Linked DNA regions of Oryctolagus cuniculus. The protein of the gene in region 5 interacts with the protein of the main gene of each other region in a biochemical or structural test. Links are inferred from orthologs where the notes say so. Each region holds a gene or a part of one and is shown on either strand. Other genes may lie near its edges. The genes, in order: CREBBP, NCOA6, SREBF2, NR0B2, HNF4A and MED1.

What was found.
Region 1: the proteins of HNF4A (region 5) and CREBBP form a complex in vitro, tested with the Homo sapiens proteins (4 studies listed by BioGRID, with this or other methods). The link is inferred for Oryctolagus cuniculus from reciprocal best matches to the Homo sapiens genes HNF4A and CREBBP.
Region 2: the proteins of HNF4A (region 5) and NCOA6 form a complex in vitro, tested with the Homo sapiens proteins (2 studies listed by BioGRID). The link is inferred for Oryctolagus cuniculus from reciprocal best matches to the Homo sapiens genes HNF4A and NCOA6.
Region 3: the proteins of HNF4A (region 5) and SREBF2 form a complex in vitro, tested with the Homo sapiens proteins (2 studies listed by BioGRID and IntAct). The link is inferred for Oryctolagus cuniculus from reciprocal best matches to the Homo sapiens genes HNF4A and SREBF2.
Region 4: the proteins of HNF4A (region 5) and NR0B2 form a complex in vitro, tested with the Homo sapiens proteins (4 studies listed by BioGRID). The link is inferred for Oryctolagus cuniculus from reciprocal best matches to the Homo sapiens genes HNF4A and NR0B2.
Region 6: the proteins of HNF4A (region 5) and MED1 form a complex in vitro, tested with the Homo sapiens proteins (2 studies listed by BioGRID). The link is inferred for Oryctolagus cuniculus from reciprocal best matches to the Homo sapiens genes HNF4A and MED1.

Annotation. Positions count from the first base shown.
Region 1 is NC_091450.1:31,799,521-31,803,757, reverse strand, and holds the end of CREBBP (CREB-binding protein), read right to left. Parts: coding exon 2,259-4,237; 3' UTR 1,157-2,258; downstream 1-1,156. UniProt on the Homo sapiens protein: Acetylates histones, giving a specific tag for transcriptional activation. Mediates acetylation of histone H3 at 'Lys-18' and 'Lys-27' (H3K18ac and H3K27ac, respectively).
Region 2 is NC_091442.1:23,350,545-23,355,185, reverse strand, and holds part of NCOA6 (nuclear receptor coactivator 6), read right to left. Parts: intron 2,981-4,641; coding exon 1,864-2,980; intron 1-1,863. UniProt on the Homo sapiens protein: Nuclear receptor coactivator that directly binds nuclear receptors and stimulates the transcriptional activities in a hormone-dependent fashion. Coactivates expression in an agonist- and AF2-dependent manner.
Region 3 is NC_091442.1:117,807,309-117,811,949, reverse strand, and holds part of SREBF2 (sterol regulatory element-binding protein 2), read right to left. Parts: intron 4,606-4,641; coding exon 4,424-4,605; intron 2,808-4,423; coding exon 2,531-2,807; intron 345-2,530; coding exon 175-344; intron 1-174.
Region 4 is NC_091438.1:144,600,291-144,605,412, forward strand, and holds NR0B2 (nuclear receptor subfamily 0 group B member 2), read left to right. Parts: upstream 1-1,589; 5' UTR 1,590-1,863; coding exon 1,864-2,404; intron 2,405-3,238; coding exon 3,239-3,480; 3' UTR 3,481-3,805; downstream 3,806-5,122. UniProt on the Homo sapiens protein: Transcriptional regulator that acts as a negative regulator of receptor-dependent signaling pathways. Specifically inhibits transactivation of the nuclear receptor with which it interacts.
Region 5 is NC_091442.1:14,692,666-14,697,306, forward strand, and holds part of HNF4A (hepatocyte nuclear factor 4-alpha), read right to left. Parts: intron 3,582-4,641; coding exon 3,429-3,581; intron 2,605-3,428; coding exon 2,462-2,604; 3' UTR 1-2,461. UniProt on the Homo sapiens protein: Transcriptional regulator which controls the expression of hepatic genes during the transition of endodermal cells to hepatic progenitor cells, facilitating the recruitment of RNA pol II to the promoters of target genes. Activates the transcription of CYP2C38.
Region 6 is NC_091448.1:22,905,318-22,910,440, reverse strand, and holds the start of MED1 (mediator of RNA polymerase II transcription subunit 1), read right to left. Parts: upstream 3,209-5,123; 5' UTR 2,987-3,208; coding exon 2,962-2,986; intron 406-2,961; coding exon 299-405; intron 1-298. UniProt on the Homo sapiens protein: Component of the Mediator complex, a coactivator involved in the regulated transcription of nearly all RNA polymerase II-dependent genes.

The DNA.
Region 1 (4,237 bases), on a different chromosome or scaffold from region 5:
ATCAACTCCAGGACAACCCGAAACAGCTGCCCCTGCTGCCTGCGCATCTGGGAGAGGCCACCTCGGGAGTGTGGGCGTGGGGCTGCTCCCCGGCTCAGGGATTCCCCTTCGGTGGGAAGGGTGGCATAGGAACTGAGCTGCAAGGCCCAGAAGGTGGACAGGACAGCAGGACCGCACTGGAGGGCCACGGCGCTGCCTTCCCTTCGCGGGGGTGGGGTGCACACGGGGACTGGTCAGGGCTGGCTGTTAGCTGGTGACTTTACTCTTACCTGGCCTCATCTACATTATTAAAACTCAAGTTTCAAAACTGTGTAACTAAAACTAGATTGCACCTTAGTTTCCTCAGGCTGATTCTCAAGTTAGGTATTCAAGTATTTTTGAAAATCTGTGACCAGAATGGCCAAATGGAGGTTACCTGCGCCGTGATTTCTCAACACCACAGCACCTCCCCGCCCCACTCAGGCCAGCCTTTGGCTGGAGGACAAGGGACAGAGCAGACAGTCCTCCCGAGTGTGTGTTGGAGGTGGGGGGGCAGAAGCAGAGGCTCGGCCCACGTCTGCTGCCAGCTGTCCCCCCCAAAGCACGGACCTGTCCAGTGCTGAGTGAACTCAGGTCACTGGACCCCTCCGGGAGCGTGCGTGTGCAGGGACATCTTCCAAGCAGGGCTGGGAGCCAGTGCTCAGGACCCTGCCCCTCGGCAGCCGCAGGACAGCGCAGGGGCCCTCAGTCCTGGTGGCACGTGGGACAGTCTGCCTGGCACCATCCTCACTGCTGAGTGCAGTTTCAGGGGGAGACAGGAACCACCCCAGGTCCCCGGGGCACCCTTGGCATCCGTAACAGGCGCTGTGGCTAGAAAGGCAGGAAGCCCTTGCACGGGGGCAGCTGGCTAAGAAGGGAGGGGAGACGGGGACGAGAGCTGGAAGCACAGTGCTGTTCACAGCCGCGGCGCAGGGCTGCGGGGCGCCGTCCCCAGGCGGCCGCTCAGACCGGGCGGGCTTCCCCACCACCCACCCCCACCCCCAGACTGCAGGCTCCGCCTCTCCACTCCGAGTGAACGATCAGAACCATGTCTTACAAAGAACAGACTCCAAAAATATATATAAATAAATAAAACCTTCAACATTCTTACAGGGATCTTAAAAGAACAGAATACATGTTAAAAACTTCAGTAATTTATATCAATTTTAAGCGATACTTTATATACAATGGGGAAAAAACACATGCATAGTCCAAATACAACGTTGAAAACAGCATTTTCATAACAAAAAAGCCCCGAACACTAAGTGTTAATACCATGTACATGAATTCAAGAAGGACCACCCTTTTTGTCTGTTGCACACAGTTTATTTAACAATATGATATAAGAAATGAGTTGGTTCTTTACCATTCTATACAGTGATTGAATCTTCTCGAGTTTTCTTATTTATAGTAATTATAGCGCTTGCATGATTTACACTAGAATTGCTTTTCCTCATTTCAAGTTTCACATAGAAGAAAGAAAAGAATGCTTCTTCTCTATTAACATCAGCATGGTCTAAGAGAGTGATCATCCCTATTTTTTGTCTAAAACCAGTTTTATCAGAGAAACAAAGCAACAATTTCTACATCTGCAAGACAAGAGTTTGGCTTAAGCCAGCACGTATAGATAGATGTGTGTGTGGGTGTGTGTACGTGTGTGCACACCGGAGTCAGTTCCTATTGTCCAGGGGTAATACTTGGAGACGCCCACAGAGTTCACTATAGAAAAAAAATCTTCCCGCAACATCAGAAAGTTACCGGGATACATTATAAGCTTGCATTATTTCAGGAATCAGTTTCTGAATATTATTTTTCTTCTCACTTTTAAACATAAATGTTTAAAGTCTTGAAAATACAAATAAAAAATATGAATATAATGAGCTTGTTTTTCCCGTTAAAAAAAGGCATGAATCACCAGCAATGACAAAAAGAATCCAAACCAACCCCCCTCCCCCAAAAACAAAAAGGAAAAAAACAACAACAAAAATAAAACAAAAACAAAAAAATAAAACCAAAGAGAGAGAAAGAGAGAGAGAGAGAGAGAGAGAGACCAGATATTTAAATCAACTGGTTTTTAACAAAAAAATATATTCTTTGTATTGTTTCTTTAAACATCAATCCACCCTTCCATGGCTTGGAAGCAGCAGTTCCGTCTAGGAATAAAAAGGCCCTAGACGCCTGGATTTTCAGTACAAAAGTCCAGGGGCACGAACGGGAGCAAACGCAATGCTCTCATAATGCTACAAACCCTCCACAAATTTTTCTAGCGTATCCCCTGTGGTGTCACCGACCAGGGACAGTTCGCTGGACAGTGTGCTCCTACTGGGGGTGTTCAGCTGGGGGAGCATTGCACTCTGTTCAGGGTTCCCCAAGTGTCCCTGATCTATGGAGCTGGCCATGGTGACTGCGAGTCCGGGATGGGGGGAACCAGTCTGGGGCGAGACGTGGTGTGGCGAAGGCTGGGGCTGTATCCGCGGTGACGGGCTGGAATGTGGAGGCTGGGACTGGGGCCGCGGAGACTGCACAGGGGCTGGAGACCGCACCTGGTTGCTGAGGGACGTGGCGATCTGCTGGCCGGGGAGGTGGGAGGCCTGCGGCTGTCCTGAGAGCAGGTGTTGCTGGGGGCTCATGGGGTTCGGCTGGCCTGGGGACCCCATCTGCTGCTTCATCTGCTGCTGCTGCAGAATCCGCTGCTGCAAAGCCTGCTGGATGCTGGGGGTGCCGTCCGCCCCCAGCCCCGGCTGTCCCATCTGGCCGAGCTGTCCCATCTGAGCGGCCATCTGGCCCATGGAGCTGCCCTGGATGGGGAGGTGCGGCTGCATGCGCTGCTGCTGCATGGCGGGGGCGTAGCCGCCAGGTCCCTGCGGCTGCTGGAACTGGCCGTGCCCAGCCATGCCCCCGGCCACGCCCCCGGCCACGCCCCCGCCGCCCTGCTGCTGCTGCTGCTGCTGCTGCTGCTGCTGCTGCTGCAGTAGCTGCCGCCTCAGCATCTCCCGGTACTGAGGATTCATGCTCGCCACGCTGGGGCTGTGTCCTGGGTTCATGATGTTCAAGGCCTGGCCCGGGGCGTTCAGGCCTCCCATTGCCTGCTGCTGGGGGGGCACCCCAGGCCGAGGCACGCCCGCTTGCATGGCGTTCAGGTTTTGCAGGCCGGGCTGCTGGTGCATGCCGGGCTGGGCCTGCAGGCCGGGCTGGGGCTGCAGGCCGGGCTGGTTGGCCACATACTTGGCTGTGCGCTGTTTGATGAAAGCTGCCATTAGCTGCGGGTTGGACTTGAGGATGTTCAGCACCTGCTGCTGCTGCTGCGGGGAGCTGGGTGATTTCAGGGTCCGCAGGAGGTCTTGCAGGGCGCTGGGCGAGATGCTCCTGGGTGGCGGGACGCTGGGCATCCTGGGCCCAGCCACGGCTGCCTGGGCCTGCATGGACATCACAGGCCTGGGCATGCCTGGCATTGGCTGCTGCGGGGGGAGGGGCGCCTGCTGCCACTGTCCAGGCGGCATGCCGGGCATGCCAGGCCCGCTGACCTGGCTGGGCCGTGGCACATTCAGGCCCACAGGGGCCATCTGGCTCCCGGGGGTCCCCAGGCCCGTGCGCCCGGGGGGCATGCCGCTGTTGATGTTCACACGGTAGAGGTGCTGCTGCTGCTGGGCCTCTCGCTCAATCTGCCGGGCAGCCTCCACCGCCGCGGGTGGGGGCTGGGCAGGGGGCGGGGCAGCCGGCACCTGGTTGGTGGGCTTCCCTGCGGACACAGTCGTGGGGGGCTGAGTCCGGGCCACACTGGGGAAGCCGGCTGGTGACATGCTCACGGGTGAAGGCTGGGGCTGGGCAGGGGGCTGCGGCGTCTGGGGCGTGCCGGGCTGCTGCGTGGGGGTCCCGGGCGGAGCTGAGGTAGGAGAAGGCAAACTCTGCTGAGGCACGTTGCGGGTGTTCATGGTGGCCATCCGCCGGCGCATGAGCTGGGCCTGCTGCAGCCGGTGCTGGATCTGCTGCTGGCGAAGCTTGTGTTTGATGTTGAGGCAGAAGGGCACGGGGCACTTGTTCTCCTGGCAGTGCTTGGCGTGGTAGCAGCACAGGGCGATGAGCTGCTTGCACACCGGGCAGCCGCCGTTGGTCTTCCGCTTGCAGCCCTTGGTGTGCTGCACCACCCGCTTCATCTTCTGGCAGGACGGCAGCGAGCAGTTGGCGTTGCGGCACTGGCAGGCGTGCACCAGGGACTGGA
Region 2 (4,641 bases), about 8.7 Mb from region 5:
GGTTGGGTGTTTGGCCTCGTAGTTAAGATGTCCATGGTTCATACTGGAGTGCCTCCAGTTTTCTGCTAATGGATACCCTAGAAGGCAGTGGTGATGGCCCAAATAATCAGGTTCCTGCCACTCACTAAGAGACCTAGACTGACTTCCCAGCATCCAGTTTTGAACTGTTGCAGGCATCTGGGGAAATGAACCAGTGGATGGGAGCTCTCTCTCTCTGCTAAAGTAATAAATGAATTCTCAGCATATAGAAATTTAGAACCTGAATCAGGTCCCTACACATTCAGATCCTTACAATAATCTGCTTCTTCATATATCTTCTCTCATTTCCAATTATAGTAATTCTATAACCTTTACTTTCAGAGAATTATATAGCTAAAAAATTCCAGATATCTGGTCCCACCCCTTTCAAGCTATGGTTGATAAAACAAAAAGCCCAGAAAGCTGTGAGAGACAAGCCAAAGGTTCTACAGTGTGCTAGTGATAGATGTGGGAGCAGGCAGAAAAATTAGATAATTAAAGGGCTTAGTTAGTCTGAATTCATGAAAATATAGGTTGTTGGGCCGGCACTGTGGCGCAGCAGGTTAATGCCCTGGCCTGAAGCGCTGGCATCCCATACGGGCACTGGTTCGAGGCCTGGCTGCTCCACTTCTGGTCTAGCTCTCTGTTGTAGCCTGGGAGAGCAGTGAAGGATGGCCCAGGGCCTTTGGGCCCCTGCACCCACTTGGGAGACCCAGAGGAGGCTCCTGGCTCCTGGCTTTAGATCGGCGCAGTTCCTGCCATTGCAGCCAATTGGGGAGTGAACCGGCAGATGGAAGACCTCTCTTTTTTTCTCTCTCTCTGCCTCTCCTCTCTCTGTGTAACTCTGACTTTCGAATCAATAAATAAATCTTAAAAAAGAAAATATAGGTTGTTAACATACAACAAATGGCTTTTAATATATAAGATTCAAGAAGCAGAGCATAACCACAAACGTCTGGGAAGGCTGGTATAAAGGCAGTTGGTGTTATTTGAACATCTAAGCTTGTTTAAATAAAGATGCCCTGTTCTTTTTCTACAGTTACAGAAATTTGTTTAATCAGTTTTGCATTCAGTAGTCACTAGTTTCTATTAATAAATATCTGAATTCCAGTCTTATAATTAAAGGCAGAAAATTCAACTCAATCAATATTCCTTCTGGAGACATTTTATCAAAGCCAGAAACATGACTTAAATAATACTTAGTTTCAGGAAATGAAATATAAATTGTTAATTGCCCTTCCTGCTGTGATCTTGTAGAACTCACTGGAGAACCATTACTGAAGGAGTAACTGATTTAAAAGGTCCTCTTGGCCGGGGGTCTTAAGCTTCTAGGAAAGATAAATGGCATTTTTTTTTTTTTTTTTTATAAACGGCCTTTAAAGGGAAGGCACTGTGTAAAACAGCATTTCTATTTGAGAGACAGTGCAGAGTCTCCAAAAGCAGTTTTCATTTTCAAAGCACATTTGGCCTTTCTGGTTCCCATTATAGGCCTGTGTTTCGGGAAGCTGCACTGAAGTAGCACTGGTTAGCCACAACCACGCTGAGACAGCAGAATTTAGAAAAAGAAATATTAGTTTTCTAGGTGTACAAATGGTATTGTGTGATTGATCACACAAAAAAGCCTGTCCTTATCTCTTAAGACATACACACTTAACCATTCACAACATGAATATGCTTTAAAATAATCAAGAAAGCAATGGGAAAGAACACAGATGAGGGCACAAAAAGTGATGAGTTGATAACTGTTGATGCAGGGAGATCTCATTATACTGATTTTACGTCTAAAAATTTTCATCAGAGTTGTCACAAACAGAAGAGGACAAAGTTAACTTTGTCACAACCTACTTTAGATCCTGCTGACTATTCTTCTTCTTCCGAGGGGGTTTCTTCTTCTTCGGTTTATTCACGTTGGTATTATTTTGCTTATTGTTTACCCCAAAATGGCCTGCAGAGATGTCACTCTGCAATAAGTTGACCAATAATGGGCTTGTTAGTGTGACATCCTTATTGACTGGGAAGCCTGGATTCTGACCACAGGACATCTGATTTCCATTAGGTGCTCCACTGAAAGGTGCATTGAAAGGCATCCCATGGCCTGAGAAGTGGTTTCCTGGGGCACTGTTTCCCTGCATGGCCTGTACGTGGGGGGGGACCATGTTGGTCTGTTGCATGCTAACATCAGGCATCATCTGAGGCAAGCTGACATCATTATTTGCTGTAGTGGCAGGATCACCATGCTGCTGGGCCATGTGTGGGCTGGGCCCTGGAGGCCGCAGGACCTGCCCCTGAATCCCCATAACCTGAGATGGACTGTTGTTCACAGGCCCTTGCTGGGGCAGCATCTGTCCTGACATCTGTCCCGTAAACTGCACCATGTTTCCTTGCATGTTTGGAGTTGGTCCCCTCATAATTTGCGCTGGTCCCGGCATGACACTGGATTGGTTCTGAGTGTTAAACTGCTGCTTATTCCCCTGCATCTGATTGGTCATGATCTGCTCTATCATTGGGTTCTGTTGGAGCAAAACTTGCCCCTGAGGCCCCATCATCTGGTTATGTGATGCCATCATTTGTGGGCCCTGCTGGGAAAGCATCTGCTTGGGTGGAGTCATCCTCTGGGGTGAGGGTCCAAGATTTTGGTTCTGAGGGTTCACCATCATCTGGCCCTGTGGCATAAGCTGGGCCCTTGAAAGAATCATAGGGTTCTGAGGGTTCAAAGTTCCTTGTTGCTGGACCATCTGGCCCTGGGAGGGCACAATCTGCTGGTGCATGCCCATCAGCTGAGATGGTGGGCCTTGTTGGGGCTGGCCTTGAATATTGCCCAGGTTCACCTGAGGAACCCCAGAACTGCCAGCCTGCTGGTTGGTCATGTTGCCATGAATTCCCATAAGGCTGGGCTGCATCATATTTGGTGGCCCATGGGACACCTGCATCTGGTTTTGAGGAGGACCAGCTCCTTGACCACCTTTAAAAAAAGAAAAGAAACAGTTTCAGAAAGAAATATGATGGTATTGATATTAAGATACTCAAATTACTTTACTCTGGAAGATATCCAATAGTCATATATCCACTGACCAATATAAATGTGATTTTTGACATACTTTCTGTGAGCTTCCTAGAGAAGTGACTCCAGAAAATTATTTACATTCTCAATGATCATACATCAGAGAAGGATAAACAAGTTCTTAATTCCTGTGTGGTAACTTAAAGGTAATATTTTAAAAAGCACTAAAGTTTATTTTCTTTCACATTAAATAAAGGCAGCATCTCATTGTTTTAGCTTGACTTACAGCTACTGAAAGTGAAAAAAATTAACAAAAAGCACTTTAAGCTAGTGAAATAAGTTCTGCATAAATGACCAGGGAAACAAAGAATGTGCCATGTCATTTTAGGAAAACAGTACTGAGAAGACACTTAAAAATGCTTCTTAGAAAACTAATAATGAATTTCAAAGGTAGGGTGCAATATCTGGATGCTGTACTTCAATGAACATCAAATAATTCCTAAGGACTAAGTAAAAAAAAAATTACTTAATCCTGATCTGGAAGCTGAGCCTCTGGTGGTTGTCTACTGACTAGAAACCCACCTGGAAGCTGCAAACAGAAGGCTGTTAAAACACATGGGGCTGGTGCTATGGCACAGCAGGTTAAGCTGCCACCTGCAATGCTGACACCCCATATTAGAGTGCTGGTTTGAGTCCCAGCTGCTCCACTTCTGGTCCAGCTTCCTGCTAATGCACCTGGGAAGGCAGCCGAAGATGGCCCAAGTGCTTGAGCCCCTTTGACCCATGTGGGAGACCTGGATGGAGTTCCAGGCTCCTGGCTTTGGTCTGGATCAGACCCGGCTGTTAAGGACATTGGGAAGTGAACCAGTGGATGGAAGACCTCTCTTCCTGTCTCTTCCATCTCTCTCTGTCACTCTGCTTGTGAAAAAATAAAGGAATCATTCAAAAAATTCAGTGACCCTCCCTGTGGCAGTCCTTGGTGGATTACAGGGGATACATTCTATTTTTTCAGGTATTTCTAATTTAGACAAAAGGTACTGCCTACCTTGCTTCAGTGCTTATCTATTGTTGAGTCTTTGGGGTTTTGCTATAGCTACTTGCATTATCTCCCCCCATTTAATGTTTATTTGAAAGGCAGAGAGACACAGAGAGATCTTCTATCTGCTGGCTCACTCCCCAAATGCCTGAAACAGCTGGAATCAGAAGCCCAGAGTGCAATCTCAGTCTCTCACCTGGCTGGCCCTACATTCTTCAGCTATCACCTGCTGCCTTCCCAGGGTGTGCATTATAGGAAGCTGGAATGGAAAGTGGAGCCAGGACTCAAACCAGGCACTATGATATGGGATGCAGGCCTTAGAAGCAGCATCTTAACTGTTGTGCCAAACCCTTGCCCCTATTAAAAATATATATATATCTGAAAGTCAGAGTTACAGGAGACAGAGAAAGAGGTAGAGATACAGAGACTCTTTCATACACTGGTTCACTCTCCAGATGGCCACTACAGCCAGGGTTTGGCTAGGTCAAAGCCAGGAACCATAAGTTTCATCCAGATCTCTCATGTGGCTGGCAGAGGCCCAAGGACTTGGGCCATCCTCTGCTGCTTTAACTAGGCCATTGGCAGG
Region 3 (4,641 bases), about 100 Mb from region 5:
ATGAAGGGCAAAGGAGCCACACATCAACCACTCGTGGAACCAATCTCCGCACCTCAGGCCCCGCTCTGTCCTGGCTCCGCCTCATTCTCTGCTCTGGTGTCTGGTGGAATAAACGACCCAAGACTGCCCACTCATCACAATTCCGACAGCTCCACTCTTGGGGAGGGTACTCACGGCCAGGAAGCCCAGTTTGCCTCCACACCGGGTCTTGAGCCCCATGGCAGCCGTCAGATGGATCTCGACCAGCGTGCTTGGCGGGATCTTCTCCTCTGCACACTCGGCCAGGTTCACAGCGCACAGAGCCATGTGTACGTCCGAGCAGGCGGACCCTGCCGGAAGCTTCCCTAGGGCAGGAAACAGATGCTCATGTTGACAGACCTTCCACAGCAAACTTCTTACTCACTCTACACAGCCGGAGTGACGGCGTTCCCAGAGGAGGGGGTTTTGTGGACAGGCCTGGACAGGGTGCTGGGCACTGTGGCTTCCTGCTGTGTGCACCTGTCCACCTCCCAGGGTGGCTGAGGACATGGCACCCGGCTCTGTGTCACGGGGCTGTCCACATTACTGCACACCGTTTTTTATGCAGTGTCAACAGTATGGCCACATTCTGCTCATACCATCCCAAGTCCCCCGCCAAATTCAGCAGCAGTAACAAACAAAAACCGACTGGGTTTGTTTGTACTTAAAATCCCCAGTTTAGAAGCACACATTTCTTTGAGGGGAGAAGAAATGTAAGACAGCAATGACAGATGCTGGACAGTAGGTGGACGGCCAGGGCACACTCACTACACACTCCCCTGGTGACATAGAAGTCCGGGGACGAGGTGGCCTCGCACAGCCCAAGGGCCCGCCACAGCTCTCCCGAGACTGCATGGCGTCACCTGCTTTGGTCCTCAGCACAGGGCTGGGAGGTGGCACAGGCCAGCGCCAAGGTCCAGCAGCGGCCAGCCGGGGCTCTGGCATCACCCAGGAGGCCCTGTCTCCCTGGTCTTCTCAGCGGCACAGGAGACCTCTGTGCCAGGCTCTGTTCCTACCGGCTGCTGCCTCCCGGCAGGAAAGCAGGGCAGAGGGAATGTGGACCCGTGTTCAGTCCTCTCGGTCCCCGGTGCCTCGCACAGGTTCTGGACCACAAGTGCTGAGAGCTGTGCAGCTTCCCAGCTGGGAGTCTACAGAGCCGGACAGCCGGGAGGCAGAGGCCTGGTGTGGGCCCGTCCTGCCCGCGGGCACACGAAGGCCCGGAGCAGAACAACACAGAAGGCAGCATCTCTCCTGAGGCTCTACACGGGCACAGGTGCTGACGCCGCACGCCGGCTCCACCGCCTCATCTCCTCGGGGCCTGGTTCTGCCCCACTTCCGGCTGAAGCCCCTGGCGGTCAGCAGGCATTTCCAGCCTCCCTGGGACCACTCCTGGCCCTCGTCAGACTTCTCAGCAGCAACCTCCCTCCTCAACCCTCTCGGCCCTCGTCCTTCCAACCCCGGGCATTTGGGGTCTCCTCGGACCTCTCCCACTGCCCCCCACCCCTGGCAGCCTTCACCCCGCCTCCGCGGCCTCTGCCCGCCCCCTGTGTGCGGGTGTCCTCCGGCAGCCCCGGGCAGCTCCCTCGGCTGTCACTCTCACCTGCAGGCCCGAGCCACGCTCTGTCCCGGCGGCAGAGCCAGCACGTCACTGCCTACTGACTTCCCCTCCCATCTCATGGCAGGAGTCCAAACTGGAGTTCCTCGCCTCTTCCCCGGGAACAGCGCTTTCTCCTGCTTTCTTTGCTTCTGTCGTTAGCATTACTGTTCCCCAGTACCCCAGCAAGAGGCCAGGAGCCACGGTAGCCACTCCCCTTCCTTGCCAGGCACATCCACAGTCCAGTCAAGTCCCCCTTGTACCGTCCCTCCGTCAGTCCTCCCAGCGTCTCTCACGTTCAGTCTGGCCGCCCCGACTGCACCCTGCCCCCCACGGGGCCACTTTCCAGCTGTCCCAGAGCGAGCCATCTAAAGGTGAGATGCACCACACAAATCACCCTCCTTCCACCCTCGCCGAGACACTGGCACCGGGATCCTTCGTGGTCCAGGCACCGCGCCAACCTCTGGGACAGGCTCCGCCCGGCAGGCCCACCTCCTGCAAAGTTAGCCACCTCCACACTTCCTCCCACAAAGCCAGGAAGTTTCTTGAACGCTCGGCCTTCCCAGGGACAGCAGGCTCCCGTGCCGAGTCTAACGTACTCAGCACACTGTCACTCACTCGCTGACCGCTCTGCCCTTCCATGAGCTTGGGAGCTTCCTGAATGAAATAAATGATCCTACTTCACTGAACTTAAAATGCCATCAATGTTAAGTCTCACCATTACTCTAAGAATCACTACAGGTAAACCGCCAACGTCACTGTTTATGGGACACCTCCCGTGGGCACCTTACAACCCACAAACCACGGGACTGTGGCTGGACCACCCGCTCTGAAAGATGACAGAGCAGTCAGAGCTTGGGTGGAGACCCGGCAAGCCACCCTGAGGGGCACTCAAGCCAGGAAGGCAGCCTGCCCCACCTGTGATGTGCAGCTGGTGCAGCCTGTGGTAGGCCAGGGCTGCGTCCCGGGCGCTGGTCTTGGCTTCGTCCTCGAAGCCGGCTGCGGTGGCCGGGGGGGCTCGCCGGCGCTGGAAGACCCTCTTGAGCAGCCAGCGCACCAGGCGCAGCTTCTGCAGGCTGTAGCGGATCACGTTCCAGGACAGGCTGCAGGCCAGGTCCAGGCGGGAGGTGGGCAGCGCCCGGCCCAGAACCGACAGGCAGGTCTGTAGGTTGGCGGCGGCAGCTGCGAAATCCCCCTACAAAGCAGCAAGGGGGCTGGGTGTGAGGGTCCTGGTCTGGCTGCAAGACTTCCACGCTCCTCTGCTTCACGGCTACAGAATCCATAACCAGTGAGGAGCATCTGGGGAAGTCCAGGAAGTCACGACAAAGTGGAACCGGCTCTCAGCTCTCCCCAGGGAAGTCCTGCTGATACCCAAGGGACTGCCTCCCGCCTTCCCGCCAACCGGGGCGCTCTGTGAGCAAACGCAGGGGACGTCCGCACGAAGACGGACACAGGAACCCGGACGGCCTGCTCTGCAGGGCCGTGGCCTCTCGGGGCAGTCCCTGGAGTCCTGAGAGAGAAATGCAGACGCGTGGCCCCATCCAGACCCAGTCACAACCCTCGGGGGCGGGGCCTGCGGGGTGAGTCTCATGTCTGCCACATTGGAGACCACGGTTTCAGACCAAACCACAGCTAACCTTTGCTGCCCTGATGGATCTAAGGGGGAGTCTACGGTGCTGCACTGCAGACCCCGCCGGCCACCCCTTAGACTGGGAGGCCGAAGCCCCAGGCCCACTATTTGGTCTTGGGAAACGCAGCACAGTCTCCCCTCCTTACCCCCGACATGAGCTGGTATGGCCCGTGCTTTGCGTCTCCTATGGTTATGGGAGTAGATGAGGGACAGTGGCTGGAGGTGCCCTCCGAGTGACCACCTCTAAGGTGGCAGCAGAACCGACATGGACAGACTGCACGCACCTGCACCCGCCTGTGGACACTGCTGTCCAGGAAACAGCCCCCAGGTCTCATGTACATTTAGGACCCACAGCCCTGGCCACGGCTGACGGACACAGACTGGCCAATGAGGTTCTCAACTGACAGCTGTCGCCTGCACAGGGCAGAGCGGGCGTGTGGCTGGCCGCAGGGAACGTGCCGCCTGCTGCCCTCCTGGGATGTGACTGCTTAGCTCCTCCTCCGGTGCCCTGGGTCGCCCTGGACTCTTCTGCACAGGCTGCCCTGTGTTGACTTCCAGCTCATTTTCTTGTTCCAAAACCTTCCCTGGCTCTCAGAGCACTGGGAATAAAGCCCGAATCAGTTACTAGTGAGGTCCCTCCAACGTGGGCCGCACACCGGCCGCTGTCCCCCACACCCCGGACCCGTCCACCACACAGCCCTTGAGGGCTACGGGCCGGGGAAGGCCATGGATTCACGTGGTCTGGTCCAGGCGAGGCAAGCGCAGGTGGGACTGGAAATTCAATACATCTACAGCAGGCTGATGTCTGAGCTCAAAGTTTTGTATAGTTCCCAGATGATGCTACGAATACCCAGATGGCCCTTAGCACAAACTACGGTCCCCAGCCCTGGCTTGGAAGGCCCTCCTGCCACGCCCACCTTTCTGCCTGCCCCAAGCGCTCTGCCAAGCCTCAGATCCCCCCGTTGAGAAGGCGGCTGCACTGCCTCCACCCGCCACGGCACCTGATTCCTCCCATGGCACAGCACGGATGGGAGATCACCCACCGTCCACCCCTGCCAGGAGCAGGGCCCCTGCCATCTGTACCACAGCCCTTCCCACAGGACCCACCCACACCGGACTCCACACAGGTTGCCGAGTTCTTAGGGAGCCTGTGGAGGAAGCTGAGGGTGGACAGCACTCACCCTGGAGAGGTCCAGGTCCGCCTGCCTCCGGTGCCTCCAAAAGGTGACGGAGGAGCGCGAGTGTGGCCGGATCACCGGCTCCCCGTGGACCAGCAGCTTCACGAAGACGCTCAGGACGATGACCCCATTGACCAGCCACAGCAGCAGCGTCGGCATCACCCAGTCAAGCCAGCCTGTGGGACCTGGGCGTGGCGGGGTGGGGGTGCACTCAGCAAGGG
Region 4 (5,122 bases), on a different chromosome or scaffold from region 5:
GCAACCCTGGTATCCTATACCCAGTGCTGGTTCAAGTCCTGGCTGCTCCACTTCCTATCTATCTCCCTGCTAATGCACCTAGGAAAGCAGCAGAAGATAGCCCAAGTACTTGGGGTCCTTGCCATCAGTGTGGGAGACCTGGTTGGAATTCCAGGCTCCTGGCTTCTGCCTGACCCAGCTCCAGCCATTGGGGCCATTTGGGTAGTGAACCAGCAGATGGAAAATCTCTAAATAATAAATAAATAAATAAATAAATAAATAAATAAATAAATAAATATTTTAAAAAGACACTTTTTGATCAACCATGCAAGAGGAAAGATAAAATCACTTCTCTATTCTCACTGTAGAAAATAGTTTTTTAAAAATGATTGCCAGCCCCCCCCCCCCCGATCATGGGGTTATTCTCTAAGAGATTGATCCAGAGCTCTCTGATGAACTGGTTGATTCCAGGGACTGGGGAGGTTGATATCAGAAAACAAAGGAAGGTTCCAAGAATGCTGAGAGCAGATCAGGAGGGGGCTATCAAAGGCCAAATCTGTGACAATCTGGGCATCAAAATAGATAATGAAGGGAGGGTGTTGTGGCACAGGGCGTTAAACCACCACTTAGGACACCTGCATCCCGTATCAGAGTGCCTGGTTTAAGTCCTGGCACACTTCCAATTCAAGTCCCTGCTGAGGTCCCTGGGAAGCAGAGGATGATGGCAGGTGGCTGGCCAGGGTGGGCTGGGCAAGGTCTAGAGACCTCCTCACTCTCTCTCTCTCTAGCCCCATTGGCTACCGTCTGAGACGGATGTCAGGATGGAGGAGCCGTGTGGAAGTAGAGCGCCGTTTCTGTCCCAATCACAAGCAGGCCTGGCCCCACTCTGGGGGACTCAGGCCCTGGCTGCACAGTTGAGCCGGTGCGTCCCGAGGAAGGAGCCAGGACTTTAGGGTCAGGCAGCTCAGGGTCCCATTCCTTCCTGGAGGGATGGCTTTGGACACGTCACGTCACCCCTTTGGGTCTCACAAAGGAAGAATCCGGAGTCAACACTAGCTCTCAATATTGGATCGGAAGAGGCCTGGCCCCCAGCAAGTGCTCAATACAGGCAGCTGTGGTTTGTGCTCATTCTGGAAGGACTTTTCCGCAGCCATGACCTTTCAGGAGCTCTAGGTATCCAAAACTGGGACAGGGGAGTCTGCAGCATTGGGTTTCTGCAGGGCCCCCAGAACTGGAGTCAAAGGAGGGGCCACACAGCACAGTGGGCAAAGTCCTCCCAACCCCCCCACCAGGGTCCTGGCTCCCTTCCCCACAGCCTGTTTCTTACCAACAACACGAGCAGGGCCCCAAGGTTAGGCAAACAAGCTAGTGATAAGGCACTTCCAGGCTGGGCCTCGCACTCAAGGCTCGTCCAGCTCCAGAGCTGGCTTCCAGGCTTAGCAAGAGCACTGGCCTTGTGCACACGCAGGAGCAGGCACCTTTAGGGACACCAGCCACAGCCACATGCTGATTGTGCACCGGAGGCCTTGGTGCCCTGGTACAGCCTGGGTTAATGACCCTGTTTATCCACTTGAGTCATCCGATAAGAAGCAACCGGTCAGCAGGCAGGTGGCCCTGTGCCCCGCACTGGCTACTTCATTGACTGAAGTGATATCAGCGCCACGTGGAGCTCCTAACGGCCCCGCCCTCGCCACTTCCCCATCAGTCCTGCCAGGGTCAGTGTGCGTGTGCGTGTGTGTGTGTGTGTGTGTTTCAATGAACATGACTCCTGGAGTCAAGGTTGCTGGCCCATTCCTCCCTCCTGCCCACTGGGGATATAAATAGCGCTCGCAGCACAGCACAGAGGGCAGAGAGCAGGGAGGCAGTAGGAGTGGAGCCGTGACCATGAGCTCCAGCCAACCAGGGGCCTGCCCGTGCCAGGCCGCCGCAGGCCGCCCGACCATTCTGTATGCACTGCTGAGCCCCAGTCTCAGGGCCAGGCCCTCTCTCCCTCCATCACGCAGCCACTGCCTGTGCAGGGAGCATCGGCCCGTCCGGCTCTGCAGCCCTCATCGCACCTGCCGGGAGGCCCTGGACGTTCTGGCCAAAACAGTGGCCTTCCTCCGGAACCTTCCGTCCTTCGGCCGCCTGCCGCCCGAGGATCAGCGGCGGCTGCTGCGTGGCGGCTGGGGCTCCCTCTTTCTGCTGGGTTTGGCCCAAGACATGGTGACCTTCGAGGTGGCTGAAGCCCCTGTGCCCAGCATACTCAAGAAGATCCTGCTGGAGGAGCCCAGCTGTGGGGCCAGCAGTGGCCAGCTCCCCGACAGGCCGCAGCCCTCGCTGGCTGCCGTGCAATGGCTGCAGTGCTGCCTGGAGTCCTTCTGGAGCCTGGAGCTGGGCCCCAAGGAATACGCCTACCTGAAAGGAACCATCCTCTTCAACCCTGGTGAGCTTCCAGACACTTCTGGGTGGAGCTGGGAGGGGGCACGGGGCACCCTCCGAGGGCTCAGTATCTATTATACTACTGGGTCCCACAGGGCCATCTCACACGAGGGGCTGAGTGGCTAGCAGGTGGGAGCAGAGCAGGCGTGAGAACTCGGGCCGGGCCGGGCCCCCTGACCCTTTGAGGGGAGGGCGGCTGACACAGCCGCGTCTCAGCACGCTCTCAAGGGCAGGTGGCGTGGCGAAGCTTTGAAGGCTAAACTCCCGTGTGGGGTCAGAAAGTTCCCATGGCGGGGGGGATGGGGTGGGGTGGGGTGGAGAATGAAGGAGGTGCGGGGGAGGCAACTCAGCGGGGAGGGCTACAGATAGAGATGGAGATGGTGTCCTTTGTAATCTGGGGGCAGCTGAGGAAAGCGTGCCATGCCAGAAGGTCCTTGTGCCCACTGACTGCCCTCCCCGCAGCAGAACCTCATGGTGTGGTTACCATACGGACCTTTAGATGCGCTAACTCCTTTAACCCTCACGGCAAGTCTTGGAGACAGGTGCGGTCATTATCATCTCCACTATACAGATAAAGAAACTGAGGCACAGAGATTAAGCACCCTGCCCAAGGTCACTCAGTCATCAATGATGGTGCCAGAAATCCAATCCAGGCAGCCCGGTCCTTAACCCTTACCTTATATGGCCTCGCTGTCGATGGATAGATAAATAAAGTGATAAAGAAATCGATGGAGGAGGTAGTAGCGGAGCCTTGAAGGCTGAGCCGACGAGGCAGGTGATGCCTGCTGGTGGCGGGGAGAGGGTGCTTACCAGACCTGTCCGTCCTCTCTGCTCACAGGCGTGCCAGGCCTCCAGGCCACCTCCCATATCGGGCACTTGCAACAGGAGGCCCACTGGGCGCTGCGTGAAGCCCTGGAGCCCTGGTGCTCAGCAGGCCAAGGCCGCTTGGCCCGAGTCCTTCTCACGGCCTCCACCCTCAAGTCCATTCCGGCCGGTCTGCTCGGGGACCTCTTCTTCCGCCCCATCATTGGAGACCTGGACATCGCCGGCCTCCTGGAAGACATGCTCCTGCTGAGGTGACATGCTGTGGCCCAGGCAGGGGTCAGCCATAGCCTGTGCAGACGCTGGCCATGCCACTTCAGCCTGCCTGTCCCCAGGGGTGCCCCGCTGCTCCTGCACAGCCCCTCTCTCAGCCACCTCCGGACTGGGACTTCCTTGGCATGGACGTGGCGCTCCAGCTGTCTGGCAGGCCCTCTGTGGTCTCCAGAGGCTCTGCGCCCAGACTCCTGTCCCCTCCTGCTGATGGCAAAGGACTGAAGCTGCTCTTTGGGCCGGGGGAGTCCTGCTGGCTTTGTACAGAACTGAATTTAAGTTATTGGTTTTTGTAATAAAAGGTGTGACACTCTCCGAGCCTGCCACTGTGTTTTGGGCACACGACAGGGACTGTCTCACCTCCAGGGCCCACCTGCTCCTATCAGAGGAGGGCAGGGGTCGTAAGGGGCACAGGAGCCAGGCCTCAGGAAACGGGGGTGTGAGTTGTTCTGGCTGGGATGGCGATTTCATCTCTGAGATGAGATTCATTTTGCATGTGGGGGAGTTCTCAGCACACAATGTCACCTCCTTGCCTTTATCCTTGGAGCGAGAAGGCTCTTCTCCCTGTCCCACGCCTTCCACTAACCCGTCTCTCAGCGCCCGAGCCCTGCAGACTCCCTCTCTCCTCAGTGAAAGTTGGATCAGAGCCGGTCAGGAAGCAGCCTGTTCCCAAATTGAAACAGACCAGGTGACTGCAATGTCTGCAGCTTGGGACCCGTCACTTGGCCCATTCCTGCAGCTGGTAGCACAGGGGGGTCCATTATTTCCCAACAGGAGAGGGCAATGGCACCCGGGGCTGGCCTGGCAGCTACTTGGAGGCCAGGGCAGGCCAAGGTTCCGCTGGCTCACGATGGTGTGGCCTCATCTGTTGTTGGAGTCTGAAACACTTCCGCAACAGTTGGTTCAGGGCCACCACCTGTAGCTCCCTGAGTGCCCTCGCACCGCCCCTCTCCCATTATCTGTTAACCCAAGAGCCAACGCGTGCCATAGCCATGGCCTCTGCACTGCTTCATTCAGAGCCGGGCTTGGGGCTGTTCCGATCAGCCAGTGTCTGTGCCTCATCGTTCGTTAAATATTTGAACCCACTCTCCCCGGGGTCAGGGTGACTGACCTGAAGGGTGGACAGGAGGGAGCGATGACAACACCCTCGCCCGCGGGACTTCCAGGCCTCCTTTCCCCAGCAATGAGGCTGCCAGGCCCCGCCCCCATCACCACCACAGTTTGGATTCTTCTCACGGGGGCTGTTAATTATTGCCCAGTGAGAGGTCATTCACTTGGGGACAGCAGCCTGGGGGGTCATCATCCAGGCCTTTCTCTAGGGCCTCCTGCTGGGACCACAGCCGAAGTTGCCTGTAGGGGTGCCCAGTGCCAGCAGCAAGCAGCAGCACCCCGTCCCTTACCCAGCACCCCACATACACACACACACAAGTCAGGCACCAGAAAGACACAGAAGCACAGAGCTCCAACCACACAACCAAGACCCACGTAACTCAGCCCCGCAGCTCTGCTACACACACACACACACACACACACACACCCCAAGACGTACAACTCAGACCCACCCCAGCAGGCCCATGACACTGAGCCTCCATCTGCCTACACACACACTCACTGGGAAACACACAGGAGC
Region 5 (4,641 bases):
GGTGTCTTCCACTTGGAACGAGACAGTAAACGTTTCGTTTCCTGCCTGGCAATAAAGCTCGCAAAGGGAAATGGACTTCTCTGGAAAGGGTGGGGTGGGAGCACAGGCCCATTGAAGGCTGCCGTGCAGCCCACTCCGCCCCCTGGGAAATTCTCAGCCGTGTTCCGAGACTGCAGCCAGGAGGTGGAGAGCCCGAGAGTGGGGTGACCAGAGTGAGCAGTGGGTTCCCCGCCTCCCTGGCGGGACGCAGGCCAGTCTGAGCCAGTTGGCTACGACTCCTGGGGCGCTGGAGTGAGCGAGGGTGGCTGAGGCAGGCCTGCGACTCTGAGCCGGGAGCAGCAAACATCTGCTGGGACCAGAGTCTGGCTCGGTGGAGCGGGGGAGGCCGCTCCTGACCACTCTGGGGGTGTGGATTCCTCTTCAGCCTAGGGCCCAGTGCCTCTCTGTGCCTCTTTGGTGAACAGTAACAGTGGTGAACGGTGGGCCCTCGCACGCTGCCCCGTAAGCTAGGAAGGGGCACCCCTGGGCGAGAGAACCTGAGAATTCGATGTCCTATGTCATCACACTTCCGGCTTCAGGACACATCCCTGTTATCCCACCAGCCAGTGGCAGTTTCTAGACTCCCCAGAGCCACCAGGATTCTGTATGAATGAAGTGCCATCTGCTCCGCGCCAGGGCTGGATGCTCCCAGGATGCTCCGTGGATGACACAGACCCCACAGCATCCCTCAGACCCAGGCCATCTCACCTCGGCCCTGTCACTCATTCAAACTCTCCCACCCACAGGCGGCCGGGCCATAGGGGCCTGTCCTGCTGGAACCGGATCCCTGCTGCCTGCCCTGACTTGGGGGAGAGACAGCAAAGGGGCGAGGAGCCGGGAATTCCCCTTCCTACTTAGCAGCAAACAGGATTCTGGTCCCTACGTGAGTGTAAGTGCGGCATGAAGCCAATCTTCGTGCTGGGGGTGGGCGGAGCTCCTGAGAAGAGTGAGCTTTTGGTTTCTGAGGCTGGTGAAGGTATCAAGAAGTCAGCTCCACCCTCAGCTCAACCACGGTGGGGACAGAGGGGCCTCTGAGCGCTCCTGTTCGATCAAGGGGGACCAAGTTCAAGTCCTGACTCAGCCACCTACTTACAGTGTAAGCCTCCCCCCCCCCAATAAAGATCACTTAACCTCTTAAGGGTTCATCTTCTGCAATCATGGTTAGCCAACAGGGAGAACGCAATGAGCTGATGCCTGCCAACTGCCTAGGACGGTGCCTAGGAGCAAGGAGACAGTCCTGGGAGACGCTCCCGCCTCGTAGCCCACCCAAGGACTCCCCCACCCCTTCCTCCGCGTCTACAAGCCTCATCGCTCTCACCGGCATTGCATCCTGACCCTGCCTGAGTTCCCTGCTTTCTCCCAACCTTCTAACCTCCACAGGACGGCCATGTTCGTCTTCTGAAATCCCAGCTCGGTGCACAGCCCTGACGACTCCTGGCCTCAGACCGACACTCAAGGCCCCCTGCTCCCCTGCTTGCCCTGTGGACTCGAGAGAGCCTGTTCCGCTCATAGCACCATTCTTCCTGCCTCAGGGGCCAGGCCTTCACCCAGGCTGCTCTCCCTTGGGATACCCCGTCTCACCTGCGCTACCGTTCAGAGCCCTCCCCTCCCTCAAAGGCCTGGTCCTAGTTTCCAAGACAGTCTCCACCCCCCCCACCCAGGTCTCCCCCTGAGGTCCTGTTGCAGCTGTCAGCCTGCGATTGTTCTCTTATTCTGGACCGCCTACAGTGGTCACCCCTCCAAACATCCACCCCAGCCCAGGGAAGGGAAGCGCCCGTGCAGTTGGAAGAGGAGAAGGGTGTGTTTCCTGTGCTCTGCCGAGTCCCAGCCAGTGCTTCTGGAATGTTCCTGAGATGACTTGGGAATTGGTGCTGAGTCTTGCAGAGAGGTGGCTTTGGGGAAGACAGGATGGCTGAGGCCGGTGATAGTGGAGGGTGGAGAGGGCATCTGGGGTTGGGGCAGCAGAAGGGGGAGGGACGAGGTGCTGCCATCTGACAGGGCTCTGCTTCTGGATGCCACGACCACACTGGGAGAGCAGAGATGCCGGTGGAGGAGGCGGGAGCAGCGCTGGAGCAAGGTCCCATAGTGTCCCGGACAGCCGACCTTTGGGGGTGAAGAAGCTGGGGGAGGTGTGGATGAAGGCGAAGGCAGTGGCTTCAACATGGAAAAGTTGTCCAAGGCAGCAGAGGACTCTCCAGCTAAGGGCTCCCCAAGTCAAAGCCCCACCATCCAGGGCTCGGGTGCTAAAGGGTGGCAATGGGCTGTGGCCCTCAGCCCACACTCTTGGGCCCTTTGCCTTTTCCCTTACTGCTCTGGGACTGGCCCTGCTGTCATGCCTCCCTTTGATGTGACCAGGTGATCACCAGGCACTCTCTGAGGGGGCTGGGGGGAGCCAGCAGAGCCCCCGACCCCCGGCCGCTTGCTAGATGACTTCTTGCTTGGTGATGGTTGGCTGGGGGATGGCAGAGGGAGGCTTGACGATTGTGGCGATGGCCCCCGGCAGGAGCTTGTAGGGCTCGGACCCTGAGCCACCTGGTGGTGAGGGCTGTGGAGTCTCAGGGGTGGCTGGAGGGACAAAGAGACAGAGATCGCTCAAGATCCCAGCCTGTGCTGAGCAAATAAACTCTGAGACTTAGTCTCCTCTTCTATAAGTTGAGAACATTAAGCTAGCTAATACTTAAATTAACATAATGAGACCCAAGGCTCACTGGCTTTAAAAATACCACTTCTTTGATATTTAGGAGATGAGCAACAGAAACTAACTGGCTTCATCTCCACTGCAGGTTTAGAGCAAACTCTAACCAAATTGGCCAACTTCATTCACTGGACAATTTTACCCCAAGAACAACCTCGGTGAAATGCCATCTCATCTCAGGGGCTTCCTCTTTCCACTGCTAATCTTATTTTTTGACAGGCTTTCAACAATGATGAACTCATTCTTGGGAGAGTTCACCTCTAACCCAGTGGACATCCCTGTGCGGTGCACTGTCTCCCACCGTGTAATGGATGGCCTTCCACAGCCGGGCAGCTTCACTTCGATGGACAGTTGTCACGAGTGGACTGTGTTACTAATGGAATTCTCTCCAGTAACTATCATCAGCCAGTGGATGATGAAGTGCCATTAATTATTATTCATTATTATTAATTATGTATAATTAATGAGCAGACTGCCTCTCCCCATGATTCCTACCCAATCCGCTCACCCGGTGGATGGCTTCACTCAGTGGAGGTTGTCAGTCACCTCACTGAATAACCCAACAGCCAATCAGCCTCGCCCTTCCCTACTTGGAGCACAGAGGTCTGCTGTATCCAGTGCCGCCTTCTAGCCTTAACCCTCTCCTCTTAGGACCCATCCTCACCCATCCCAAGGGAGAGCCTAGGTTGCCCACCTGCCTGCCCCCTTGGCCGGGGCCACTCACACATCTGTCCATTGCTGAGGTGAGTGGGCATCGTGTTGGCCACAATGACGTTGGTGCCCATGTGTTCCTGCATCAGGTGAGGGTGCAGGGGGTGGTGGGCGTGGGGTGCATCACTGGAGGACCCTGTAGGCAGAAAAGGAAGAAATCAGGGTACAGTGTCTCAGCTGGGACCAACTGGAGGCCCCAAGCACCCCCATCTTCTTCAGGTGTGGCTCATCACCTGTCCATCCAACGTCTTGAGTACCCATTCCTGGGTTAGTAAACTTGGGCTTCATGGGGCATGGAGAGGACCCCAAAATCAAGAGGGCAAAAGTGATTTGAAAGAAACAAGGAAAGGGGGCTGGTGCAGTGGCACAGCAGGTTAAAGCCCCAGCCTGCAGCGCTGGCATCCCATATGGGCACGGGTTCAAGTCCTGGCTGCTCCACTTCTGATCCAGCTCCCTGCTGATGTGCCTGGGAAGGCAGTGGAGGATGGTCCAGGTCCTTGGGCCCTGCACCCATGTGGGAGACCCGGAAGAAGCTCCTGGCTTCAGACTGGCTCAGCTCTAGCCATTGTGGCCATTTGGGAAGTGAACCAGTGGATGGAGGACCTCTCTCTCCGTCTCTACCTCTCTCTGTAACTCTTTCAAATAAATAAAATAAAATAAATAGATAAAAAGAGACCTCTAAAGTCCAGCTGTTTCTGTGATAACCAATAATTAATGAGCACCTATCACATGCCTAGGACTTCTTTTTATTGTACTTTTCATGTTTTACATAATCCAATCCTCACAAAAATCCTGCAAAGTGGGCACCATTATTGCCCTGTTCTTTAACAGGTGAGCTAACAAGCAAAGGGAGATGAGCTTATCCAAGTTCATCTGGCAACAGACCATAAGCTCCTGATCCTGGTCTCACGGACACCTGACTCGCCGTAGCCCATGTTCAGAGTCAAGGTGAGGGTGAAGTGAGCCACATGACACTGGCTCTCCACCTGGGACGACCTCACCAGACCTGAACACAGTTTTCGGCTGTGACCACTTGGGAGGTGCTATTAGCATCTCATGGGTAGAAGCCAGAGATGCAGCTAAACCATGTACAGGACAGTCCCCCCCCTCCCAATCACGAAGAATTGTCTAGCCCCAAATATCAACAGTGCTGAAGCTGAGATGCCTTGCCTTTGGCCACATCATCTCCAGGAACA
Region 6 (5,123 bases), on a different chromosome or scaffold from region 5:
AGAGATGATTTCTAGTATATAGGAGTATGTGCATAGGTTATATGCAAATGCCATGCCATTTCATAACAGGAACTTGAGCAAATGGGGATTTTGATGTCCACGGGGGATCTTGGAACAATCCCCCTTAGATAACCAGGATGAATGGATAGCTCCTTCCTAGGTAGGTCCCTGAAAAGCTCCAATATATTCCAGTGTTTTATGATAAATAAATCTGAAGACACTATTGTAGCTAATTTGGACACAGGGAGCTTACTTATTATCTAAGTATAACACTTTACCCACTTGCCACAATCCTCACCATGACTTGCCGCACAAGCTTAATGGTTTCACTCCAAGGTCTATTTTGGTTAAATTTTGCATGAAGCCGTTCCAAGAGAGAACTCATCTTACTCAGCTTTTCCGACTCTACGACATAAATCAGAAAACATCATTAGAAACTCCTTTATCAAGACCTCGTTTTTCTTGGAAAAGAAACCCCCACACAGCCGAATCTAAGAATTGGCTAAACTACTTTTCGATATAATTTCTTCAAACCACATAAAGAAAATATTTTTAAAGGTGAGAAGACACATACCTTATGGGTCTGATAAAAGGAACACCATAGGACATTCCATTCAAGGTTTTAATGGGAACCCAAAAAGGAACCGAGTCTAATCATGATTCACGACCATGCCTACAACTTAGTGACAGTCATTTTCATAACATGCCTGAAATTTCTGTATAATATTTATAGAGAGCATACATTTGAACATGGTCTTACAATGGTTAGCTGATTTTCAATGTGAAAATACTTCCTTAATTTTTGGCCATAATTTTAAGAGATTGGTTGATAAGTATGATCAAGAAAACAGACCCTAATTGCCTATCTGATGTTTCATATTTTTCCATATAGCTAAAATTATATGGACAGGGAAGAAATCAATAACCAAAAGATGAATTTCCAACAGAGGTTAAGAGAAAGGCAGAAAGGATCAGCTCCTGAACTAAGAATATGAATGAACCTCTTAAACCCTTCGAGCCTCCCCTAGTTCTTGAACTGCCATGTATGAGCGAAGACCTGTGCTGGGGCCACTGGAAAGGAACACAAGATATGCCTGAGGAGGGCCGGCGCCATGGCTCAATAGGCTAATCCTCCGCCTTGCGGCGCCAGCACACCGGGTTCTAGTCCCGGTTGGGGCGCCGGATTCTGTCCCGGTTGCCCCTCTTCCAGGCCAGCTCTCTGCTGTGGCCCGGGAGTGCATTGGAGGATGGCCCAAGTCCTTGAGCCCTACACCCGCATGGGAGACCAGGTAAAGCACCTGGCTCCTGGCTTCGGATCAGCGCAATGCGCCGGCCGCAGCGTGCCAGCTGCGGCGGCCATTGCAGGGTGAGCCAACGGCAAAAGGAAGACCTCTCTCTCTCTGTCCACTCTGCCTGTTAAAAATAATAATAATAATAATAATAATAATAACAAGATATGCCTGAGGTGACATCTGTGAGGCAGTGTGATCAAGTTAACATGGGAATTACCATTGGTGCAAAAAGAAATGCTCTTAAAAGCAGAGACATTACTACTGAATAGCAAAGAAGGAAAAGTACATAATCAATATGGAGACATTAAAAAAAAAAAACAGACTGTTGACACTGGCACTGAAAAATAAATAGAAGGTCAGAGTTAAGGCAGCAAGATGATCTCAGTCAAGACTCAGACTCCTTCCTTCACGCCTTCATCTTCTGGAAAACTGGTTTGTAGGCTGCTTCAGCCAGCTGATTGCTCTGGGCACATTCCTATTTCCCACTATCAAGCCATTCATTCAAGCACAATTGTATGTGCTGCAGACACAGTAGTAAGCAAACCATACAAAACTCCTGCCTGATGGTGTTTCCACTTTACACCCAAGGGACACACATTTCTTCTCCTTCAAATCACACCCCTTTTTTTTCTTGAGAAGCATTCTGTAAAACGTCCTTAGTCTGAAACTCAAATCAAACATTTTCTGAGCAACTACTATGTGCCAGAGATTATACAGAGATGAATAAGGGAGCCGGTGTTGTAGTATCGCGGGTGAAGTCACCACCTGGGATGCTGACAACTCATATGGGCAAAGGTTCAAGGCCCAGCTGCTCCGCTTCCAATCCAGCTCCCTGATGGTGCACCTGGGACAGCTGCGGAGGATGGCCTCAGAGAGTGGCCCCCTGCACGCATATGGGAGACGCTGGGGAGGCTCCTGGCTTCGGCCTAGCCCAGCTCCAACTATTGCGGTCATTTGGGGAGTGAACCAGCAGGTAGAAGATTTTTCTCTCTCTGTAACTCTGCCTTTCAAATAAATACATCTTTAAAAAAAAAAAAAATGAATAGGGCAGCCCCCTGATCTACAAAGCTCAGAACAAACTGGAAGGATGAACAATGATAATAAAGTAAGCTGTGATTGAAAGTGCAGTGTGGAACTCCAGAGAATCGGAGTAAAAATTTCCATAGAAAAAGTCGTTTTCAACAGTTCTAAATCAGTCCGGCCACCGATGGGAACACTGTGACTTTTAGGAAGTGCAGGCATTTTGTATCCTCAGGACCAAATCACATCATTCACATCAAAATACTCTCCAGTACTTTTAGATACACGGTTCCGTATGGCTGTTTTTAGGCCATTATTCAATGGTCTCTTCCGGAATGAGTTGCAAACAGCTAATATATTCACTCGCCTGATCTTCCACCACTTTAGGCTAAAAGTGCCCAGAAGCCCCAGGTACTGTCTCTATATAAAAAGGAAATCTTCACCCAAGTTGGGAGCCCCCACCACCCTAAGTCAGCGCTCTATCACCATCAAGGAAGGCATGATGAGCATCTAAGACACACACATCCCGCATCCTGGACTCAGTGCCCCCGCGAAAGCGGCCCCCACGGGGCATCGGCCCCCACCTCCTCGCCCAGATTGGCTGCCCCCAGTTGAGTCCCGCCCCCTCCTTTCCCCCACTGTCACTCACCCTCGGTTTCCCCCTGAGCCTTCATCCTGACGACGGGCAGGGCCTGGGTCCGCCACAAGAGGAGAAGCCCGTTCCTTCCACTAATGGGAGAGCCACGTTAGTTCGGGCTCCCGGGACGCAGGGCACCAACAGTCCCTACTCTTCCCGGGAAGGCTCAGTCTGAAGTCCCCGGTGGCAAGAAGAGAAGGGTGCCTGCGGCCGCCGCCATCTTCCCCAACGGAACTTCCTAAAGCTCGCGAGATAAACCGTGATCCTGCGCGAGAAAGGAAGCGACGGGATACTGAAGTCTCGCGAGAGGTGAATGACGTACTTCCGCGAGATTTCTTCCAAATCCGGCTGTCTCTTAGCTCTTGGGTACTTCGTTCTGAACTTGCGAGCAGGTAGAGTTCGGTTGTTGTACGAAAACTTGCATTTTCATTTTAGCCGTTAGTTTGGAAACTAAACCCACAGAACCCCTTTTTTTTTACAGGCTAGATTTTCAAAGAATACTGGTATCTGAAATGTTTTATCAAATACAGTAGAGTTTCCCTTATATGCTAGATGCAGTAAAACTGTCATAAAAACACTGGCTCTTTGTAACACGACATTTGAAGGCTGCCTAGGACACTTAATTACCATTTTCTAATATTTTTTAAGTTTCAGGAATATTTCTTGAGCAGTTGCAGCAGTTTTGAAAATCTGAAGTGCTTTGGATTAAAATAAACTTGTTCTCAGCAGCAAGTGCATGTTATCACTGTGTCTTGGTGGAAACATGCAGTTTAGCTTGTATCTCCACTGCAGATCACAGTGTGTAGTCTTCTCTCTTGTGTCAATAAATCCTCATGAAGAGAAATCCATAGCAATGCTGGCAAGTGCATGGCCACTGGAGCTTAAAGGCTACTTTTAAAAAGAATTTTCTCATATACATCCTTCAAAAATGCGGCTGGAAAGTAGGATCTTACCTAGTTTTCTGCAAGAATATTAAGCAATGAATTTCTTTTTTATTTTTAAGATTTATTTATTTGAAAGGTAGAGTTACAGAAGCAGAGAGAGAGGTCTCCCATCTGCTGGTTCACTCCCCAAATGTCCACAACTGCTGGACCTAGCCAATCCAAAGCAGGAACCTGAAGCTTCTTCCAAGTCCCCCTGCTGCCCTCCCCCCCCCTCCACGGGTGCAGGGGCCCAAGGACTTGGGCCATCTTCTGCTTAAGCAATGAATTTCTACTGACTGTAGTCTCAGATTTTTTCCACATTTAAAAAATAGCATTCACATATCCAGAGCCATCTCAGCAAATAACTGCAATTCAACTGAGTAGGCACAGCAGTATAAATTTGATAAAAAAAAAAAAAAATAACCTGGCAACTTGTTTCTTTACTGCCACAAAGGTAATTATAACATTCCCTTGAAAATAGGATTACACTTTTATTGTTTTTTTCCTCTTATCGTCATTCTTTGGAGTCATATTATACATAGTGAATTTCGTAGGGGCAGAAATGGCCCCGTGTTACTGAATCATCACTCCCTAGCACTGTACCTAGGCCTGGTAGCCAATCTTACTGGCTTACCAAGCCTGTCTAGATCCAGCTTTTCTGCCTGTCCCAATCCCCAGCATACTGACTTTCCCTCATTTGGAGGAGAATTCCTGCATTCCTCCCAAGGTCCTTCTACAGGCCTTTCTAACTGCTGGGAAGCCTCCCCTTTATCCAACCCTTTCAGCTCTCATTCAAATCTAAGTTAAATGTTTGTTCCAAAGTGGGCATTTGCATCCTAACGTCAGAGTACTTGGTTCCTTGAAAGCAGACTAACAGTGCTCCACTTGAGTTGGGATTAACAGCATATTTTCCAGGCAGGTGTTCGGTGCAGTGGTTAAGAGATGCCCAGGGATGCACACATATCATATCAGAGTACCTGGTTTTGAGTCCTGGCTCTACTTATAATCCAGTTTCCTGCTAATGCACACCCTGGGAGGCAGCAGATAATAGCTCAAGTACTTGGGTCCCTACCACCACCCTGATTGAATTCCTGGCTACTGGCTTTGCCCAAGCCATTTCATGCATTTGGGGAGTGAACCAGCAGATGGGAGCTCTCTCTGTCTGCCTCTCAAATAATTAAGTAAAGTTTTTTCCCTTTAGGCAAGAAAGGCAAGACTTTCTGATCCCTGATTTGAGGTCCTGTGTTGCAT